Ovis aries: one gene and its partner. The protein of the gene in region 1 interacts with the protein of each later gene in a pairwise test. Links are inferred from orthologs where the notes say so. Each region holds a gene or a part of one and is shown on either strand. Other genes may lie near its edges.

Region 1 (3,945 bases):
AGATTATTCCCCAGTTTATTACATAATTAGAAGAGGTTTTTATTTAAAATTTTGAGGCAAAAAAATTATACATATAATATTTGAATCACCAGTAATACTGAGTAAAATGAAAAGAAAAATCAAAGAATATACAAACTGAAGTACTAAACAGGAGGTTGCATTTATCTTTTCAGATTCCAGACTATTTGGCAATTGAGGTTTAAGATCTGAATGAGTGACTGGACCACAGAATCTGAAGGCTCCCTGCCAATCCTGACATCCTGTGATCTATAGAATGATGACAGTTAATTGGCCAGACTTTGAGTCTCTCTGTTTTCCACTGTGTGTTCTCAGTAAAAGGTAAAAAAGCACATAAATTCAAAATGCCACCAAAGGTAAAGAATTACAAGATAATAAAAGATACTACATAAAATTTAATGGCATTCAGTATCAAGGCAGGGTAACATGAAAAAAGATACTGGCTGATTTTGACATGAATTCTGAATACTTGTTTTGCTTAAAAAAAAAAAAGACTTATTCTGTGAAAATAATTTTATCTACTGCTTAAAAAAAAAAGTCCTAGTATTACCTTCGTGACTTATCAATATTTTAAGAACCACGGTTCAAAGCTGGTTGGGTAGGGGAAAGGAATATGGAATGTGAGCCCTACTAACTTTTCATCTGCTCCTTAGCAGAGTAATTTGCATATGAACATGTCTCACATTATGCATGTGTGTGTACTTAGTAGCTCAGTCGTGTCTGACTCTGTAACACCATGGACTGTAGCCCACCAGGCTCCTCCGTCCATGGGGATTCTCCAGGCAAGAATACTGGAGTGGGTTGCCATGCCCTCCTCCAGGAGATCTTCCCAACCTAGGGACTGAAACCAGGTCTCCCACTTTGTAGGCAGATTCTTTGCCTTCTGTGCCACCAGGAAAAACCATGAATGCTGGAGTGGGTAGCCTATCCCTTCTCTAGGGGATCTTCATTACAGTTGTTCCCAAACTTAGGAGAAACCATTACTGATCTCTGATGGGCTTATCTGGACACTAAGAACCACAGAAGACATTTATTAACTTATTATTATTTGGCCAAAGGGCCATCCATCTCCATAAAGAGTGAAAGATAATTCTAAATAATTCATGATTTTCTACAAGAACATTATGACACTAGGTTTTTTCCCCTAAAATTCTGTAAAGTCCTCCTTGTCATGAGGTGCTGCCTTTCCAGCTAAAGTCAGGCAGGTTTCTTGGCCTTGTTCTCCCTGCTAGCCTACTCCCACATGACCAACTTGTCATTGTCATAAACTCAGCTCTTTCAGGAAGCCTTCCATGCCCAATAGTCCTATCCATATTCTGCATTTGTTCTACAGATACTACTAATATCTCTTACATTCTGCCAGATTCTGTGGTATTTTTAACTCCCAATGTGTAGGTATATGTGTGTATGTCCTTTAAGAACACAGCTTGTATTTAACATTATTTATGTGCACCCCCAAAACTTTGCATGTTTTCCACACACAGTAGGCATTCAGCCAACATTCTAAATGTAAATGAATGTGAGCATGAGACCTTAGGATGATTAGAGCAATGAGTGCAGATATAGTCTTCCACCTGAAACAGACACATGGAAACAGAACCCCTCTCCAAATTCTTCAGACTGATATAATGCCTTTCTCTAAGTAACCGTGCAGGTCTTCTGACAAGACTTGAAATAAGGAGAGAGGATGAGGCAGACGACGTCGACTATCTTTTGGCTCATAAAAAAGTACACTTGGGAAGACCAAGCTAGGAAGACATGACCTCTCTACAGTGGAAACACACAGTGAAACAAAGAAAAACAACTGGCACTCTAGGCTTTCTACCTGATCTCCATTGCCTTGAAGGACCATGTTACCCCTGCCTTTGGGTCTGGAGCCCAGCATGGAGTGAGGCTGTGCCCTCAGGTCAGAGTGTGAAGCAGTATGGCATTTACCCTGCCTTTTCCTATAGAAAGAAGAAAGAAAGAAAAGAAAGAAAGAAAGAGAAGTGGCTCAGTTGTGTCTGACTCTTTGCAACCCCATGGGCTGTAGCCCACCAGGCTCCTCCATCTATGGGATTCTCCAGGCAAGAATACTGGAGTGGGTTGCCATTTCCTTCTGCAGGGGATCTTCCCAACCCAGGGATCGAACCCAGGTGTCCCATGTTATAGGCAGGTGCTTTACCGTCTGAGCCACCAGAGAAGTTCTTTCCTATAGAACTGATGTCAAATTGGTCTCCTCTAGGTTCACCTCACTGATCTGTTCAAAGCAATGACATTTCTAACCAGTCTCTCGCTTTAGAGAACTTCTGGATTTTCCACACAATTCTGCTCCCACATCCAACGGGTAAACACATTCTACTCAGGAAACACTACAATTATTCACTGTCTCCTACATTTTCACATTTCAGCAACAGCTCCTTCCTTGAGCCATTGAGAAAACCTCTAGCTGACTCTCCTGCCAAATTATATCTTTGATTTGTTGTGAGAAAACTCTTGCTTAAATCAATTAATAAAACAAATAAACATCACAAAGACCTGCTTCAAATCCTTTCCATTTCCTTTCTTTTCTCTTTTTTCCCCATCTTTTTTTGGAGTGGGGTTGGGGAGGGGAGGATTCTTGTTTATTGGTAATGCTTAAATTCCTTGGGTTCATATATGGCTGTTTATAAACTGGCTACAATGAATTTTTTCCAGCTTCACAGCCTGCCATTCAAATTCACGGACACTTTTCTCCTATTACATTTGATGTATCACATTTCTCTGGAAAGAACAGACCTTATTATGAATTGTTGCTTTTATGCATACAGTTCTTTTTGTCTAGAGTGACTCTCCCCACTTTTCACGTGGGAAATACTCATCCTTCAACATCCACCTGTCTCCTCTTTAGAGAGACATCCTCTGTTCCACTGAATCCCTCAGTATGCTGAACACGTCTGAAAGTACTGACCTCCAGAATTGTGATTTAGTCATTTCCCATCAGTCTACCCCTAGAATATGAGATCCTCAAGGAAAGGCACCATGTCTCATCCATCATTTTTTATACCAACCACTTAGCCTGATATTTGCTGTGTAGGAAACAAGTACTCATTGTTTGGGGGTTAAGTAAAAGTACAGAATACAATTCTTAAATGAACAGATTGCTAATATGTTGTTTAGGGAAAGCTGAAACAATCTTTTTCAGACTGTGGGTCAAATAGGCTTTGAAGGACTAGTCTTAGAACTAAATGGGCTGGAGTGACTGTTTCTATGGGAACAATAGGTATACGTTCCAAGCAGCACACATATGAATGGACTTTGGAACACAAATGCCCCTGCAGGGTTCCATGAAGCCAAGCAGCAGGCACCGAGGCTGGCAGACTACCCCCAGACCGGTGAGTGGCTGCATCTCCCGGGGAGGTGAATGCGCAAGACACTACGTCACCAGAAGCAGCCCAGCCATCCACGGAGACCAGCTCCAGTCAAGCCAGCTAGCTGCCCGATGCCCTCTGTCCATTCGGCCCTCCCGGGCCCAGGCCATGCTGCTCACAGTCTATTGCGTGCGGAGGGACCTCTCCGAGGCCACCTTCTCCCTGCAGGTCAGGCCCGACTTTGAGCTTCACAACTTCCGTGTGCTCTGTGAGCTGGAGTCTGGCATCCCCGCCGAGGAGACCCAAATCGTCTACATGGAGCGGCTCCTCGTCGAAGATCACTGCTCCCTGGGCTCCTTCGGCCTCAAGGACGGCGACATGGTCATTTTACTGCAGAAGGAGGCCGTACGGCCGTGCTCCCCCGAGCGGGTGGCTGGCCTCTGCCGCACGGAGCCAGCGGGGCCTGCCCTGCCTGGGACGTCCAGCTCCCGGCCGCATCAGCGTGCCCAGTCGGCCCAGCACTCCAGGCGCCACGGCTCTGGGGAGAAGGCAGGCCCGGGTCAAGGGCTGGACAGTCCGGCGCTGGTCCGGAGCATGC
Region 2 (4,707 bases), on another chromosome or scaffold:
GTGGCCTGGGACCCAGTGGGTCCGCTGCCCAACAACACCCAGCGCCACGTTACAGCCCCAAGGAAGGACAGTCCTGCCCTGTCCCTTTTCTGAGCCATGAGAGTCTAAGGGTCTGAGCTCTGCTCCTTCATCCCTCTCCCGGGCCCCCTGTGTTTACTCCTGACCCTCTCAGTCCTGGCCTGAGCTGCTGCTGGGAGAAGCCTCAGCGGCCAGCCTTGGGGAGTTTCTCAGCTTCCAGAGGCATCTGGGCTTCCAAGAGAGCCTGAAATAGGCCTGTCTGTGTGAGGGGGAAGGCGGCAGTTACAACTGGGAGGGGAGCCCCCTGGAGCATGGGTGCTCCCTCTTGATCTCTTCCAGCAGGGAGAGGAGGTGTGGGGTCTGGGCGGCCCCTCTGCTCCCTTCCTTGTGGCTGCTGCCTCCTCAGGGGGTGAGACTGGCCCCAGGGCTACTGTCTCGGGCTCCACCTGAGCTGTGGATGGCCCATCAGGAGGTAGTCAGGACAAAACGGGGGCGGGGGGTGGGGTGCAGGATCTGAGGAGGGGCCTGCCCTGGGAAGCTTATAAGTCTTGCCCCCTAACACCGCCCACCCTGGGGCAGACAGCAGGTGCAGGAGTGAAAGAAAAGGGAGGTTGGTGGGACGGAGGGTCTGCTCCTCCAGCTTCTCTCCCAGGCCGGGCTGGGCTCTGGGCAACCAAGGTGGGGTCAGGTGCAGTGTAGCCGGGGGTTATCAGCAAGCCAGATCTAACTGCTATCTTGGTCTTCTTGGGTTACTTGTGGGCCTGGGCACTTGGTAAACACCTCCCCAGCCCAACCCAGTCCCCTCTGAGAAACTAGCTCCCCCCAGGGAACTAGAGGGGCACACAGAGAGAAAGAAAACCTTGCCAAGAGCTCAGACCCTCCAGAAACACCTCGGGGGTTCAGTTGCTTCCTCGGCAATTCCTCACTCCCCTTTCCTGGGGAAGTTGGGTGGGATCCCAGGAGCGGAACTGTGCACACATCTTCTGTGCTGGGCTTAGTTGCTCATTCGTGTCTGACTCTTTGCGATCGCATGGACTGCAGCCCGCCAAGCTCCTGTCCATGGGATTCTCCAGGCAAGAATACCAGAGTGGGTGGCCGTGCCCTCCTCTACATGTCCTTATTGGCAAATGGCAGGGTTTGGGGACAAAAAATAGCCATGGTCCTGTTAACCTCGCCTCATTTCCTCCTGGTGACCTGTGCGGGTATCCGCGTGCATCCTGAGGCCTCAGTGCTAAAAGCTGCCCCCCCTCCCCACCTGGATGCAGCCTGATGCATCTCTGACCCTGCGACCCACCGTGTGGGTGCTTGATAGTGCCGAGATGCACCTCCCATGTCTGATGGCTTGGGAACCTGAAATCCCCTCTTACTTCCCCATCACCCCGGCTGTTTCTGAGCCTGGGAGCTGCCCAAATAGCTGTCTCTTCCTTGGGCGCCCTCCTGGAACTCCTCAAGTGTGCTGCTTGCTCTTTTTTTCCTCCAAAATCTGTTACTAAGTTGGAATCAGGGCACATCATTATGGAGCTGGGTAGGTCCCAGGCTTGGGGGAGGCAGAAGGGAGAGAGTGTGGGAGAAAAAGAGGAGCCAGAGATGGGGCCAAGCCTGGGAGACAGGCATGCACTTCAACTGTCCTTTCCAATGGGAGGTTTCACCCCATCTTTAAACTAAAAGACTGCCCCGATCTGTCCTAGATTTGATAGCTTCCCTCTGCCAAGGACAGACAGTTGGGGGGTGAGTGTGGGTCTGGGGCCTCCATGCCTGCACCCCCCAGGGACCAGCATGTGTGGGAAGAGAGCAGTGATCTGGAGCTGGAGTCAGGTACTAGCTTATGCACTCTGTGGGGATGGCATGCATGTGCACTGACTGGTGTGTAGGAGTGTGAATAACAGTGTCACTCTGTGTGTGCATCCCTTGGGGGCATGTGGTTCCTGAATGACCCCTGAGCCCAAGACCCATGACCTTTCCTCCCCAGACCTGGGGTTCAGGATGGGGCCCTGTCTCCTGAAGCTTCTCCCTTTCCCTCCATCAAACTCAGCAGGGCCTGTATCCGCAGGGACTGTTCACTTCTCCACTCACCTGCACCTCGCCTGGGAGCTCCCTGTTGGCCCGGCCCCAGGGGCAGGAAGGGACCAGCTAGGAAAGTGGGACCTCTGGGGTCCACTTCTTCTGACCTCTATTCTTTTGCCCTTTCCGAAGCCCTTTCAGGTCTCTGCACAGGGGAAGGGGCTGAGCTGGAGAGAGGGGTTTGCTTCTCTTTGTCCTCCTTGGCTGATCCTCAGTTTTCTTGTCTCTAGAATGGGGAGCCCCCATGACCCCTATTGGAAAGGCCGTAAAACGTGTGTCCAAAACAGCTGCGGGTGGCTGAGGTCGCGGCGAGGTAGGCAAGGCTGGCTGAACCAGGAGTTCTGAGGCCCGGGAGAGGAGGGGGATGGAGATGCCTCCCTTCTGTGTCTGGTTCCTAGTTCCTGGTGAGCCCCTCGCCCAGAGCTAGGAAGGGCTCGGCCAGGGCTTCGCCCACCCCAAACCGCCCCAGGCTACCCGCAATCCCCAGACCGGCCCGGGCCCCAGTCGCAGCTGGGAAGGTGGCGCCCGAGCTCGGACCCGGGCCGAGCCCGCCTCTGCCCGGAGCCGCTGCCGCCGTCCCTCCTCCGGGCCCGGCCGGGCCGGGGCGACACCTACCTCACAAGGATGGCCACCCCCACGTCCTCGCAGTTGGCATAGAGCCGGGCCCACGTCGCCTGCACCGCCTTCCTCTCCGCCTCGGACAGCTCCTCGCTCCGCTCCCTGCGCTCAATCTCCATCTCGCCGGGCACTTTCTCCATGAGCAGCTCCAAGCCCAGCCCGGCTTCGCTCGGCGGCGGCGGGGCGCGGGGCGCGGGGCGCGGGGAGCCGGGGCCGGCTGCGTGCGCGGCGGGCGGGCGAGTGGTAGAGCGCGCCGGAGGGAGGGAGCGTGTCTGTCTGTGCGCGCCGGGTGTGTGTGTGTGTGTGTGTGTGTGTGCGCGTGTGTAGGGTATATGTGCAGGGGGCGGGGGACCGCGAGCGGGGGGCGGGGATGTGGTCTGCTGGAAAAAATGTGAAAAAAAATAAATCCGCTCCAAACCCTCAAACCCGTGTCCGTGAGCCAATTCCGGCAAGGTGAAGGCTGGGCGGGGTGGGGGCGACGCGGCCGGCGCCTGCCCGCCCTCCAGACCGGAGTTTGATGGCCGGGCGGGGCTTGGGCGTAGGTGTGGCGGAGGTACTGGGGGTCCCGGAAGGAGGGGACTGGCAGTCACCGAGTGCGGGGCCGCGCGGGCCGCACAGGAGTGCGCCGCGCTGGCGCGGGTCTGGGGGCGTGTGTGCACCCTTCCCGCCAAGGGGAACTGACTCTGAGTCAAACACTCCCGGGCATTTGCGGCGTGGCCGCGAGCCCGAGGGGGCGGACGCGAGCCCCTCCGGCAGCGCAGCGGTGGGAGCTGAGCTCCCGCTCGACTCCCGCCTTCCCGGAGCCAGCGGGGGGCTCTGGTGCCACCCCCAGCGCTCCGGACCCCAGACTCCGAAGGGTTTGGGACTGGGGTCATCTCCCTGCTCCAACACCCTACAGGAAAACTCCGGTGCGGGGACAAGAGGGCGGCTGTCGAACTTGAGCGGCCAAGAGGCCTGACCCCTCTTTCCTTCTCGCCAGCACCCCTCCCCCTCGGTGCACGCACGTGGCCTCAGAAAGAAGGCCCTGGAGGCCCTGGGTGACTTACCAATGACACAGGCAGGCCAAAAACTGGCACTCCCCTAATGCTGGCCCTGGAGGAACAAAGTTTAAAGAAGAGGCACCCGACTGGGCAAAGGGGCCCTGTGGTGGGGATGGCAGGATGTCAAGAAGTCCTGGGGAGGGCCAGGATGCTGGAGCCATCTCAGCTGCCAGGGCCTGGGTTAGGGAGGGGTTCTGTGGCTGGAGAAGACAAGTCCTGGTGTTGTAGCCACGCGGTCTGGAAAACAAACTCACTCAGAAGGACAATGCAGATAGTGGAGTGCAGTTTATTACACCAGCGGGCCCAAGGCAGGGTCTCCTCTTAGCCAAGGACCCCGACCAGTTTTTCTGAAAACTTTATATACCCTAAGTGTACGTGCCCAAACCCACCTCCCCAAATTCCCTGAAACTAGTCTGAACAAAGGAAAAGAAAGATCCAATCAAAGTTAACCCGTGATTCATATGCCTTAAGCCTAGGTAGTTAACACTGGACAATTATCAATAGGCCTGTGGTCATACCCCAATAAGCATAATAGGATTTATGATTCTATTCGGTTACACAGATAATTAGGGTATTCTCTTAGGCAACAAAGAGTCTAGCTACGAGCCCTGGGGTTCCATCCAGGGGGCCTGGTTTTCCAGTTGGTATGTAATTTCCACAGATACTGGGCATAAAGCTCAAAGTCTGCAGTTCAGCCCAAGATGGAGTCCTGCTTTCAAGATGGAGCCTGTTCTGTCTGTTTCCTCCTTCATTCCCCCCTCTTGATGATCTTAACTCATAGTATGAGCATCATTCATAGGGATATACTGCACCCTGACTGTCCAACCTCTAATTTGGGAGAACGACATCAACCTTTGGGTTGGTTACAAAGTTCATAATACATTGTAAGATAGCAGTCCGCAAAGCAGACCTATCAGGGCAACTATAACAATGGTATAGTTTTCCACCAATCACCCTTTACCCAAGGTAG

The links. The genes of interacting proteins can lie anywhere in the genome.
Region 2: the proteins of DDI1 (region 1) and CYGB interact in binary tests that used the Homo sapiens proteins (3 or more experiments, as listed by UniProt). The two-hybrid records come from large-scale screens. The link is inferred for Ovis aries from reciprocal best matches to the Homo sapiens genes DDI1 and CYGB.

The regions. Positions count from the first base shown.
Region 1 is NC_056068.1:4,094,680-4,098,624, reverse strand, and holds part of DDI1 (protein DDI1 homolog 1), read left to right. Parts: 5' UTR 1-3,287; coding exon 3,288-3,945. UniProt on the Homo sapiens protein: Probable aspartic protease. Seems to act as a proteasomal shuttle which links the proteasome and replication fork proteins like RTF2. Required, with DDI2, for cellular survival following replication stress.
Region 2 is NC_056064.1:54,558,881-54,563,587, reverse strand, and holds the start of CYGB (cytoglobin), read right to left. Parts: upstream 2,838-4,707; coding exon 2,695-2,837; intron 1-2,694. UniProt on the Homo sapiens protein: Probable multifunctional globin with a hexacoordinated heme iron required for the catalysis of various reactions depending on redox condition of the cell as well as oxygen availability.